Linked DNA regions of Cricetulus griseus. The protein of the gene in region 4 purifies or fractionates together with the protein of the main gene of each other region. This does not show direct contact. Links are inferred from orthologs where the notes say so. Each region holds a gene or a part of one and is shown on either strand. Other genes may lie near its edges. The genes, in order: Slc12a2, Ptpru, Tctn2 and Clgn.

Evidence for each region.
Region 1: the proteins of Clgn (region 4) and Slc12a2 purify together in Homo sapiens (co-immunoprecipitation; 3 studies listed by BioGRID and IntAct, with this or other methods). This does not show direct contact. The link is inferred for Cricetulus griseus from reciprocal best matches to the Homo sapiens genes CLGN and SLC12A2.
Region 2: the proteins of Clgn (region 4) and Ptpru purify together in Homo sapiens (affinity purification with mass spectrometry; 3 studies listed by BioGRID and IntAct, with this or other methods). This does not show direct contact. The link is inferred for Cricetulus griseus from reciprocal best matches to the Homo sapiens genes CLGN and PTPRU.
Region 3: the proteins of Clgn (region 4) and Tctn2 purify together in Homo sapiens (affinity purification with mass spectrometry; 3 studies listed by BioGRID and IntAct, with this or other methods). This does not show direct contact. The link is inferred for Cricetulus griseus from reciprocal best matches to the Homo sapiens genes CLGN and TCTN2.

What each region holds. Positions count from the first base shown.
Region 1 is NC_048595.1:181,064,453-181,068,024, forward strand, and holds part of Slc12a2 (solute carrier family 12 member 2), read right to left. Parts: intron 2,769-3,572; coding exon 2,613-2,768; intron 1,177-2,612; coding exon 1,077-1,176; intron 1-1,076. UniProt on the Homo sapiens protein: Cation-chloride cotransporter which mediates the electroneutral transport of chloride, potassium and/or sodium ions across the membrane. Plays a vital role in the regulation of ionic balance and cell volume.
Region 2 is NC_048595.1:21,492,395-21,494,937, reverse strand, and holds the end of Ptpru (receptor-type tyrosine-protein phosphatase U), read right to left. Parts: intron 2,043-2,543; coding exon 1,907-2,042; intron 1,718-1,906; coding exon 1,655-1,717; 3' UTR 560-1,654; downstream 1-559.
Region 3 is NC_048597.1:104,314,726-104,318,297, forward strand, and holds part of Tctn2 (tectonic-2), read left to right. Parts: intron 1-392; coding exon 393-516; intron 517-1,471; coding exon 1,472-1,613; intron 1,614-3,572.
Region 4 is NC_048596.1:159,037,946-159,041,517, reverse strand, and holds part of Clgn (calmegin), read right to left. Parts: intron 1,609-3,572; 5' UTR 1,600-1,608; coding exon 1,456-1,599; intron 298-1,455; coding exon 221-297; intron 1-220. UniProt on the Homo sapiens protein: Functions during spermatogenesis as a chaperone for a range of client proteins that are important for sperm adhesion onto the egg zona pellucida and for subsequent penetration of the zona pellucida.

The DNA.
Region 1 (3,572 bases), on a different chromosome or scaffold from region 4:
GCAACATAAGGAACACCCACAAATTCTCCTTCTAAAGAGAGCAATTCTTTCTTGAAATGTATCTCCTCTTCAAAGATATTTTCTAGAACAACGTTGTGTATATTTCAGAAGCCAATGAAAGGTTATGTATGACTTGTGACAGCTAACCAACCTCATCAATTTAAGAAATACTATTTTATGAAAATACTAAGTATAAACAGGCTAAAATTTCTTAGACTTTATATGCATAAATATTTCTGAATACAGAGAAGCATCTCTCAACAGTGTTTTAATATCTGGATCTAACCCATTACTAGCAATGTATTACAGAAGTTTCAGAGATGACTAATAGACTAATGACAAAGTCATTTCCCAAGGGAAGTACAACGCACGTACTCCTTAGCCAAAAACACAGTCTTACTACTGCAAGTAGTTTCCAGTTAGTTGCTTAGAAATATGAATTCAGTATTGTTTAGTCTTAACAAAATTATAAAAATAGGTTCATCAAAACAAGTCTACGCCAGGCATGGCTGGATTCAAGCACTCAAGCAGCAGAGGCAGGCGGATCTCTGTGAGTTCAAGGGTAACCTGGCTTATACAAAGGGAGTCCCCAGCCAGCCAGAGCCATACAGTGAAACCCTGTCTCAAGCAAACAAATAAAAATTCTTATGGGGTCAATTCCCGTAACATAACCCACATAACAGTTCAAAACTATTTGCAACTCCAGTTCCAGGGAATTTAATGCTCTTTCTAGCCTCTGTGGGTACCAAGTGTGCAAGTAGGGCACAGGCATAGATACAGGTAAAACATGCATACACAAAAAAAATTTAAAGAAACTTATAGATATATAACATGAATGCTTACAAAGAGAAAAAAAAATATTTTTCTTCAAATGACAGTTCCAAAACTTTCATCACTTTTTCTAAGGACAGCATTTTTTTTTGTATGTTTGGTTTTGAATAATTAACTGTCCAAGACCATCCAAGCAAGACAGAATATTGTGTACTATTCCATACAGAATGTTACTGAAAAATGAATGGTTTAAGAATTAACTGACTAGTAACCAGAGGATGCCTCCATGGTGCCTGTTCTCCTACCTGAAGTTCTTCACATGGTCTTCCACCCCAGAAAGACGAATGGAATGCTGCAGTGCGCTCAGGTAAGTCAGGGCTTGTGTGGAGGACCCCCAGTTCACATCTGTGGGAAAACAGAGTCATGCAGTGTGATTCCAATGGCAACCATTTCAAACCCATGAGACAAACAGCAAACTGGGCAGAATTTTCATGTTTATAAGTCAATTGCTAAAGTAAACTACTATTCTATAACTTTGAATAGTTCTAGTATATAGAAGTACATTAAGACTATCATCAGATCTGTCATTGCATTTGAAAAAAGGCATAACTTAATAAATGCATGATGATGGCACTGTAGACATGTTTGCATAACTCAAAACATTCCCAACAATAAAATATTTAAAAATTATTCATTATGTAGCTGAAGACCTGAGGGGACACACTTTAAGAACAGTAAATATGTTCAAGCTATTTAAACATGAAAACGTCCTCTACTATTGAATAAAAAGGTTGGGCCTTGAATGATTTTTAAAAACACATTAATGTATATTTAATAGTATTTTAGAGGAACATTTGCTCCTAAAAGTTAAAAATATACCTCCCTTCTCCATTCATTTCTAGAGTCACCATCTGAATTCAAAAGTTCATCATTTCATATTCAGATTACATTTCATCACTGTTTAGAATTACTGTACTGTAACTACTCATCTTCTGATTTATGCCAGTGGACCAAACTCTCCTACCTTTTTTTGCCATATCTTTTTCTATATACTGAACCAATCCTAACAGCCCTTCCCCTCAAACCTTACACGGGGACCTTTCTAGACATCATCAATGTAGAAGATGACAATCACTAATTATTTCTCAGTTAAGAACATTTATACTAGCTGGGCAGTGGTGGTGCACGCCTTTAATCCTAGCACTTGGGAGGCAGAGGCAGGTAGATTTCTGTGAGTTCCAGACCAGCCTGGTTTACAAAGAGAAACCCTGTCTAAAAAAAAAAAAAAAAAGAAAAAAAGAAAAGAAAAAGAAAAAGAAAAGCAAACAACAAAAAAGAACATTTATATTTAGTTATTTTGGGAAAGATACATCTTTCCAGTGCTTGAATTCCATCTATACAGAAGTTCTAAAGATGACAAGAGAATATATATATTCTACACACACACACACACACACACACACACAGAGAGAGAGAGAGAAAGAGAGAGAGAGAGAGAGAGACAGAGACAGACATTTGGCTAGTAGTTACTACAGTGCTGCAAAATCTGGAACTTTCAACGTAATAATTTTATAATTTTAAAACAATGGAAGTACAAAAGAATGTTAGTTTATTACTTTTCTTAAATAAGGTTAGTTATATTTAATTCATGGGTACAAATGAAATTCTATAGGAATTAACACTAAATGTACTTCAAAAGCAAAAAATTATATGGAAAGAAGGTATTATAAGTTTTACATGTGACACCTTTTCAAATATACAAAAGATGCTTGAGTAAGAAGTAACGTAAAAACCTGTTGACATTTTCTAGCTTGAAATACTAAATACAAAAGACTACTGACCTGGCTTTTTGTAGGTGACATAAATGTAGAGTCCAAGAACTATCACATATGTGAGCAAGGCAGCCCACCAGTTAATGACAAACATCACTATGCAACAAAGAATTGCTCCAATAAGAGATATCCACATGTTGTAATATTTGAATGCAGGACGCCATCCTAACAAGACAGACAAAAAAGTCACCCAGATTTTTCATTTGCTTTATACAGTGGCACATAATTATGTATAAAATAGCTTTCATTATGGCTGCCACACTCAGACAACTTTAAATATTAAGTACAAGGCTAATATCTAACAGTAAAGTCAATGACTGTTATTGATCACAGCTGGTTTTGATAATTCCTAATGACTGTGAAGATAATATTTTCCCTCTTAGTGCATCTTCTCAGACCTTCATTCAACACAACCTTTCAAAAATTTAAATCAACCCACCATAGTGAAAACTATAGCAGCATCCTACAGAGGAAAGGCTTACCCCTCAGTGGGGCAGCTGTACACTCTGGTCTTCACCATGATATACTTCCATGTTCTAATAAATATATAAAGCATTTCAAGCAACCTACCCACATAACAAAACCTTGGTGTGAATTTAAGAAATTCATACCATTGGTATTTGTTAATTAAAACTACTCATAAAATGCTTTAAAAGACCATGCTTTAAACTTGTCACTAATGGTTAGAAATATTTAATTACTTCAACAAAATTTCATTTTGAAAGTAAAACTGAAGCTAAAGCACTGTGTTCATAGTTCCTTTTCCTTTTGAAAACCTCACATGCTATTTAGCCTGTTCTGAGAAACTTAAATCCTTCTGTACTTTCCATTCTTTTCCTGATTTTCAACCCTGGTCCACTTGTAACAAAAGCCCCATGGTACTTTTTCAGTTGACAGAGCCCCCTTATGTTATAGTTCCACAGAATTCACTGTGTAAAAATCATGCTAGGGGCTGGCACTTAGGCTCAT
Region 2 (2,543 bases), on a different chromosome or scaffold from region 4:
GATTGACATGGGAAGGCCCAGCCCACTGTGGGCAGTACCATGCCTAGGCAGGCAAGCCTGAGCTATGTGAGAAAGATAGCTGAACTCCGGCCTGGAAGCAAGTTGATAAACAGTGTTCCTCCTTGGTTTCTGACCCAAACTCCTTCCCTGGGTTCCTGCCTTGGCCTCCCTCGATGACGGATTGCAAAATCTAAGAAGAAATAAATACTTTTCTCTCCAAGTTGCTTTTGGTGACCACGATGTTTATCATAGCCACGGAAGCCAAACTAGAGCACTCACTTATGGTGGACTGTTATCTTGAACTGTAACCCAAAATAACCCCTTCCTCCCGGAAGCTGCCTTCATCAGGTATATATTTGTCAGGTACTTACTGGGGTGCGTATCTAACAGGACCAGCGTCCCCTGGAACCACCTCCTCGGAGGGACTCTGAGTGGGGATGCCCTGGTCCATATCTCTGCTGTCTGGTGGACAGAAAAACCAAACCAAGCCTAGAATCTAGGCCTCTGACCTACACTGTCCCCTCAAGCTGGTCAAACACGCACACACACGGCCACCGGGTGGCATTCAGAGAGCACGTTTATTTACAAAGTGCTTTACAAACATTACCTTACACCTCCCCACAGCCCCCTGTGAGGTAGGTCAGTAGTCATATCTACAGTTTACAGATGGGGAAATTGAGGCACGAAATGGGGGTGTGGCCTACCCCATTATAAAGAGTACTTCCCACCCTCCCATCAAAAAAAAAAAAAAAAAGAAAAAAGAAAATAATGAAATAACAACAAAAAAGTACTGGTCCTCCATCCCATAGCACCCTTCTTCCTCTGAACTCTAGGAGCTGTCACCAGCCCTGCTCTACTCTGCCTCAACCCAGTGGCAGCCTCACCAAGAGCCACAGGGACCTCAACCCCGGGGGCTGGGATTCAGCCTTGTGGATTGTCACAGGCCCACGCTGAGCAGGACTGAGCCATGGAGGCCTGAAGGCTAGGAAAGAAGGAGCTGAGGAGATATTCTGCACATACTGGGCCAGGCAGGGATGGAGCCCAGGAGGGAGGCGCAGGCCCTGTTGCAGGAAGCTCAGAAGCAGAAGTAGGAAAGCATGGCGAGCAAAGCACCCCCGGGTCTGCAGGGGCAGTGGGATGGAGAACAGAGCCGCAGGAGGGTCAGCGTGTCCCACTGGCAAGACGGTGAAGAGTCCCAGCTTCAGGACTCTCAGGGGCTAAGCCAGGTGGGACTCAGCCCCTGCCAAGCCCAGTGAGCCTCCACCATGTGCAGAAGGGGGCCACACTGAGTGCAAACCTTGAACACTCTCTCGCAGCCCTCATTCATTTCTTGCCAAGGACTGGAATGGAGTGGAGGGGCCTGGCCTGGGGTCCCAGTACTGGCTGTTCTGGCCAGTGTCACCGTCCCAGGTTTCTCAGCACAGGTCTGCAAGGCCCTCTGGAGGTGGGGCTGGCTGCAGTCCTGTAGTCTTGCAAAGCTCCTCCTTGGCCCGCAGCCTGCCCATGGGGGCCACCAAGATAGTGCAGCGTCCACTCCAGTGTTCTCCTTGTAGAATTATGGCTGAGCAAAGTTGGGGGCACAGGCCCTCCTCTCCAGTCTGGGATGATGGGCCACGCCCTGGGTGCTCAGTGGGTGCCCCAGGCCAGGCGCCTGCTATCTCAATTCCAGAGCCTCCAGGTATTCCAGGGCCACATCGTAGCAGAAGTGGTATTGATCCTGGGGAAAGAGAGCACCTTGAGCTCTGACCACCCTCTGGAGAAAGGGAAATGAGGATGATATTCTAACAACCCAGGACTAGAACAGAGACCCAAAGTTGGGGACCAGACAGGAGTGCGTAGGTACTAAGGAACCTGGTGGGGCTTGGATGGGAGCTGAAGTGGCTGTGCTTGGGACATGGCTCCTCACCATGGTCTCCACCATATTGGGCTTGTAATTCCGAAGTGTTTTGGCAGCAAAGAAAACATCCACTAGGCTGTGACAGCGGATCATCTCCAAGACCGTGGCACAGGCACAGAAGGTACCACTTCGGCCACCCCCGTTTCTAAAGGAAACACAGAAAAGGTTTGGGGCAGGACCTGGAAACTCAAGGGTGAGGGGTGGAGCTAGGCAATCAAAAGGCAGGGGCTAAGTCAGAGAGGCCAAAGGTGAGGGTAACACTAAGGAGCCATGGAGGGTGGACTAGGGAGCCGAGGGATGAGAAGAGAACCCAGAAGCCAGCCCTAGGACCAGAAAGCTAAAAAGATAGCTCAGGGTTGAGAATGATATCCAAAACCACGCATCATATCAGAAGATATCCTCAGAAAGGACTGGCCTGTAGATTCCTAGAGAAAAGATACAACCATACTTCAAAAGAAAATGACAGAAGGGAAGGCCCAGAGGCAAACAAGCCCCAAAGCAAGATGGGAAGACCAGCCAGGACCAACAATGGAGATACACAGCCAAACACAAGCACTGAGCCTAGCTGTGGTCACCAGGGATCCTCTCCTCCACTTGCCCCTGTTCCTGTGACCCAACATGAGCCTCCTGCGAAATGGGAGATTAA
Region 3 (3,572 bases), on a different chromosome or scaffold from region 4:
TGCCTCCCGAGTGCTGGGATTAAAGGTGTCTACTGCTGCTGTCGCCACCACCAGGTGAAAAATTTATGACTATGATCTCTGTGAATAAAAAATAAAGAGCTGGGGTTTGTGTTGTATCCCTGAAACCCCAGCACCCAGGAGGCAAAGGCAGGAGGATCAGAGTTCAAGGCTGTTTTTGGTTATATAGAGAGTTTGAGGCCAGCCTGGGCTACATGAGGCCCTATATCAAAGCAAAGAGGAAAGGGTGATTTGCATCTCAGCAGATCATCGTTGAAGGGTTATTGATCATCTTTTTTTTTTTTTTTAAACGGTGCTGGGGTTGAACTTCAGCCTATGTACAGGCTAAGCAACACCCTAAGGGCCCATGGATAATCTATCTTATGGACTTGCAGTTCCCCCAGACACGACTCTGCCTTTGAAGCCCATCTGCACCTCCATCTAAGAGACTATGCTGATGCCACTTACAAACAAGGCGATCCCATCATGACCACACAGGGGTATTTTACCGTCCCCCAGGTAAACTTGGATCTAACTAGTGTTGTATATCCATAAGAATCTCCCGCTAAGCAGCTTATTTTCCTCTTGTACATTAACTATTAATAGTCCCTAGATGGGAAAGACTCATTCTTAACCTCTGCCTTCGCTAAGTCACAGTGTGTATAATAACACAGGAGGTGTCTCTGTGCAGACTCCTTGTGGGCGATGATGGGTGATCAGTCTCCACTTCATTCCCTTTTGGTGTTTTGTGTTTTTGTGGTACTGGAGCCAGTACTGAGGGGCCTTGTGTATGCCAGTCAAGTGCTCTACCAAGCTACATCCTTAGCCCCAGCAATTTCTGAGGTGCTATAAGTATGTGACTGTGTATAAGAGTGTTTGACACATCTTTAAGGTTAGAAAGTTTTATGTGAAGTCTTTGTTTTTTTCTACATCCGTCATTATTGGGAAACTGCTTGTGGGAGGAAAGCGTGGGGTGCATGACAGTTTGTTATTCCTGTGAACCCGTTTATATCATTGGAGCTGTCTGGGGGCAGGAGGTGTGCTTAGCACTAGAGTTCATGGTTATTCCACGTGGGGCGCTGGCTTTCCCACCTCCCTCAGAACTCACGTTGTGATGAGGGAGAAGCGCGGCCGAATATAGTCATTACTTGTTAGTGGACAGGGCCAGGGACCTTCCCCGAGTGTATTAGAGAACACTTAACTGTGAGTAGTGGCTTCCAGTTGTTGGTTCTCTAAAGTTGGTCGCTGTTGACAATGTCTAGCAATAGCAGTGAGCAGCAGAAAGTGACTTGGAGTAGGGTGGCATTGATGTAGGGTCTTATACTGAAGCCTAGACTGGTCCTGAATTTAGGGCAGCTCTGCCTGAACGCCCCCAAATGCAGGGATTACAGGCTTGAGCACCACGCTTGGCAGAAAGAATGGTTTTAAGAGAGGAAGAAGAATTCCATGTACCATCTTTGTTCCTCACCCTTAGGTGTCCCTAGCTGGACAGTGTCTGCACAGTGCTCCAGTGGCTTTCCTGAGGAACTTTGATGTTAAATGTACCATCGATCTGGAAGTGTACCAAGAACAAGATGGCGTTGTCCCTGAGAACGTGAAGATCCGCACTGCGGGAGGTAGGCTGCCTTTGCGGTTAGACCGGTGTGGTTAATAGGGAAGCCTCTGGCTCAGCATCGGTGATGGCTCATCTATTGGTTGAGAATGGTGTTTTCCCTGGGAAAAGTTCAGTCTGACAGAATAGCATCTGCACATGTGGTCGGTGTTTTCCTCTGTGCACTGGGCATGGAACCCAGTGTTCAATCACTAAGCCCCACCCACCCCAGATCTCTATTGTCAGTTAAGTCAAATCTCTATAATGTCACTCGAGTGCCATCGACTTTCTGTGCAATACTGTGTACCCTACTCTCTCGAGGAGCCCCAGACCTTTCAATACCCACAAAGGGAGCAGGCATCTTTTCAGCAGTGAGCAACTGAGCTCTTGTCTGTCTCTGTATATCACATGGATGGAACCATTTCTTTGCTGCTGGCTCCTGGAACCCTCGATAGGGGTGGGGAAGAACTGTGGAAAGAATAGACACACACTGTGAAACAGGAATGGGTCCAGTCAGGTTCTCCAACTACTGCTATGATAATCTGCAACCTCAGTGTGTATTAGGCACAGCACAGGGGGAGGCTATCTAGTCTCTGGAAGGCTCTACAGGCAGTGGTCCCTGACTCTGAGCATCCAGGAGGAAGTCACAGTTGCCAGTCTCTGCACACACAGAGGAACAGTTTATAGACACTCCTTCTTAGACTCCCAAAGAAAGCTTCACCATTTCTTTTCTTTTTTGAACCTGGCCCATGTCTGCTAATTTCCCATGGGCCAGTTGCTCATGTCAAAGTACACATTGACTCAGGACCTCACTCCCCCTGGGCTTCCTCTGCTCCTTGCACTTTGCTCTGTGGCCTTCACATCTGGCTTCTCTCACTTAGCAGCATCTTTTTAATTCTGTTTGTTTGTTTATTTGTTTTTCAAAACAGGGTTTCTCTATGTATCCCTGGATGTCCTGGAACTCACTCTGTAGACCAGGCTGGCTTTGAACTCAAAGATGTACCTGCCTCTGCCTCAAGAGTGTTGAGATCGAAGGTGTGCGCCACCACTGCCAACTTTTGCATCATCTTTTGAAAGCACATATCTGTGCCACTTTTTTTTTTTTTTTTTTTTTTTTTTGACTAAGGAGTATTGTACTGTATGGCTCAGCCACATTTCTTTGTCCATTTGTAGGCTGATGGATACTTAACATGTTGCCATCATTTGGTTTTGTGACCAGTGCTGGAGTGAGCATTTGGGGACACAGTTTTATGGGATATGGAGTGGGGTTGTCATGCCATGTAGTTTACTTGATGATTTGAGGGAATACAGATTCTTCCAAAGTGGCTGCTTTGTGTACTTTCCACCCTTACCGAAGCTCTTCTTGCAGAGTAACACCACAGGTGCTGGTGCTGACTCTTTGTAACACCACAGGTGCTGGTGCTGACTCTTTGTAGGTCTAGTGAGGGACTGGGAGCTGATGATGTAGGAGGGGGAGAGAGCGTGAGGAGATAATCACCACAGGCATGGTTGCACGGTAGCCCTTTTCTTTTCCTTTTTGAGATAGTGACCTTGAACTCCTGATCCTTCTGTCTTGTGAATCCTGGGATTGCAGGAGTGTGTCACAAAGTCTGGCTTCTTGTTAGCTCAATAAGCTTCCTGTGAGTAGGTGAGTGGCACTGTGGCAAACCACATGTCGCTATGGAAGTAAATTTGTTGGGGGAAATTTGATCACACTGTGAACCCCGAGTTTGCATTTGCATTAATTAAATAAAATTAACCTTGGGTCAGGAGGCTGAGTTAGCAACTAGAAGATAATCATAGAGCAACAGCGGGTGTCTGGAAGAGACAGAGAGATGCATCGGAAGGAGTAGGGAGGGATTTGGAGTGGTCTTTTTTTTTTTTTTTTTTTTTTTGTGGTGGAGCAGAAGGATGCGCTCTTTTGGAGAGACACCAGCAAGGAGAGGAAGTTGTAGCTAGTTGCTACTCAACCTCTCTGAGCCAG
Region 4 (3,572 bases):
GGCTGAACATAACTCAGTTGTCTTGTGAATCTCCACAATATCTACCCCAGAGAGCAAGGAAATGCCATGTGCTTCCTTTGCATTCTGAATTTGTGTCTGTCTTTGTATAAATTCATAGCTTTAAATTATTCCACAGTCACAGGAGAGCTAATTCTCACAGACTAATAGCTTCAGAAAACCCATCAAATTGAAGAAAATGTGCTCTTGCAGGAGTACTCACCCAGCCAGCCTTCCACTGTCAAATGTTTCTGTAAAATATACTTCTCCTATAGGTTGAGGTGTCTTATATATAATTGTCTAGAAAAGAGATTTTTAAGCCAAAGTTACTCATTTTTGCAAATATCTGAAGTCAGCCTGATTGTTCGGAACCTAGTACACAGTACACATGGGCAGTAGAGATCCCGGCTGGCATGGGCTCTGGTTGCAAAGCTCATGTCTTAGTAATGTCATAATGAAACCTGTTATTTTGTACAATTGATGTCTGGTAATGAAAATTTAAGTGTTTTTTCCAATTTCTTGTCATCTCACCAAATATACTTATGAGTGGTGAGCACATGTCAATTTTTAAGTGTGAACTTTTAAAGACCCCTGTAATAGATGTTTGACCCAGGTGATGGTTTGTCAAGCATTGCTTTGTAAATCACAGAACTAAGTTTCAAAAGAAATATCTTTGCAGAGACTAAAATTTAAAGGGGAAGCAAAATAGTTACTGCAAACCGATAATAACATTTATTTGCATGTTAAAAACCCAATAAGATGAGATGAAGCAAAGGAATCTGTGAGAACTTCCTGTTTGTTACTTGGGCCCTTTAAGCAGAGGCTAGCATAGAAGGATGAATGATTTTTAGTTATCACAGTATTATATGGGAATACATTCAATATGGAGGCTCCAGAGGATGGTTAAAATAGATCAACCAAAATCTCTGTTAAGTTCCCAGGCTCCCGTCAGTCACCACCTCAGGACATACACTTCGACAGTGCTGAGGCATAGCCCTGGCTCAGCCCAACTAAAGTCCACCTCGTTACTCCTTCCCTTTCCAATCCATTGTCCTTGTGTGCATTATCTACCTACAGAGAAATAAACAAAAGCTGCTTCCTTTACTTCTTGAAGAACCACAAGTTATGGCACCTTCCATTTTGTCTGGAAAAGTCTGATATTATCAGAAATAGGACTAATGGTCCTTGTCTTTGTTAAAGAACTTGGTCTTCTTTAACCAGTGAACTCCTGTTTTGGCAACAAAAACTTCCCACATACTCATGGAACACAACTGGAATAGGTCCAAACAAATGTTTGCTGTAGGCGCTCTAAGAACACAACTGAAAAAAAAAAAGCAACATTTCCCTATGCACTGAGAAGACCAACCCTCTTAGAAGAGAAGGAAACCTATCTTGAGGGACCTGTCACTCCTATGACCATGGAAGAATAGCTTATAATTCACTTCTCAACCATCTTACCCCTGAGGAAGGGTCGTCTTCTTTAATAGAACTCTCTTCTGGATTTTCACTGAAGTCTTCCACATCAACACCATCATTCATAAACTCTGCATTAACAGTGATGAACAGAAGACCCAAGCATAGTCCAACACTTTGGAAATGCATATTGACTATCTGTGGAATTAAAGCAGTCATTGAAAAATCAGGCAAGGATGCCATGTGGTAAGAACCATAGGGAGAAATAGTTTCTCCTTTACTCTGGATGTTTCCATCACCAGCAACATTATTTAAATTAAGCCTTGAACAAATAAAACACCAACTTAAAATGTGCAGTTCTAAGACTTCTTCTGAAACCAAAGAGTTAATGGTATAAAAATATAAAGCTGTCAGCAACAATGTCTATAAATGCAAATAATGTTGATTCATTGAAAAGGAAAAAAAAAGCTATCATGATTCCTAAATTTTCACTTATATTGTTTTAAATAAATAATGTAGCTTAAGTATATACAAAATTAGACATTTTATAATTATAAAGCTAGAGTCCACTTACATCTAAACACCCAAAACTAAGGGATTTTTAATCATACATTTAACATTTAATAGTGTTTTGCCAAATCAAATCCCATGCTGTAGAAAGCTGTCTCCTGGGGCTCATGTTCTTTTAAACTCACTGTTCCTATAATTCCATGCTCATTACACAATTATCTGACCACGTGTCTTTTCAAACACTGAATAATTGGTGTTCCTTGTGCTATAAGAAATGCCAAATACAACCAACCTCTCTTCCTCTTATTGATTCATGTAATATCTTCTTGCCTACTTCATTAGCATATATTAATTCAAGATGTCTCCCATGGTGCCAACAGACTTTCAAGTAGTGTTGGGCACTGAAACAGTTCAGTATCATTGATTCAAGAGTGGCCATACAATAACACATCATCATCATGTATGCTACTCTTTCCCCAAAGCTAACATCAACATGGGAACATTTTTTAAAGTAGATTCTTAGAACTGTAAAGCTTCTCAGATAATAGATAGAGCTATGGACACATATGGGCCCACTTAAGAAAGATGGGGCTGATAGAGATGGTACTACAGTCACCAGCATTGCTGTGATCAAAAATGACCATTGAAAACCACAGAGACTGGAGAAACTGGAATCCTCACACATACCAACAGAGGTGGGGAATAATGTGGCAAATTTCAACATGGCCCAGTGATCCCACTTAAAGATAGCCAAAATAAAACCAAAACTTATATCCTCACACATGCTTAGATATAATCCATAGAACCCATTTCTTGTATCAACTCAAATGTAGACTGAATCAAGTGTCCATCAACTCATGAGTGTACAGACAGCTGTCATCTGAAGAGGGGTGTACAGACAGCAGTCATCTGAAGAGGGGTGTACAGACAGATGTCATCTGAAGAGGAGTGTACAGACAGATGTCAGCTGGAGAGGAGTGTACAGACAGATGTCAGCTGGAGAGGAGTGTACAGACAGATGTCAGCTGGAGAGGAGTGTACAGACAGATGTCAACTGAAGTGCTCACACCATGGAAAAGCATCTAGTAACAGAGAGACAGGATCTCATACAAGAATGCATGAACACAAAACCATTGCTCTAGAAAATCTGGAAAAGCCAGTTAGGGAAAATTGTAGATGTACCATTTCATGTAGAGAAACAAGAAAACCTGAGAAAACAAGAACTGGACAATAGCTGAGACACCAACTAGATCAGGATTAGGGGGGCAGCTAGTGGGCATTTAGGGGAATGAAAGTCTAATATTGGAATTTGGTAATGGTTACCCAACCCTATAAATATAATTACACAATTAAGCAGTTCAACTTGATAGTACACAAATTATATCATTAAAATGGTTATAAAACATCACAAAATGCATTGTTATACCTATTTCAATGGACACAACCCCTTTTCAGATCAAAACTTTAGATGAATGTCTGGGCCAGAAAACCTTGATTTCTTCTAAATGTTACTGGCTGCCACTCTAGTGTTTACTTTAAAAATGAACATTTTTAAAACCACTAAACAGAAATTTACCTTAATAGGCGCTTTCTATATTCAAGTACTGCCATCTTTATGGACAGACAGACAGACACACACACACACACACACA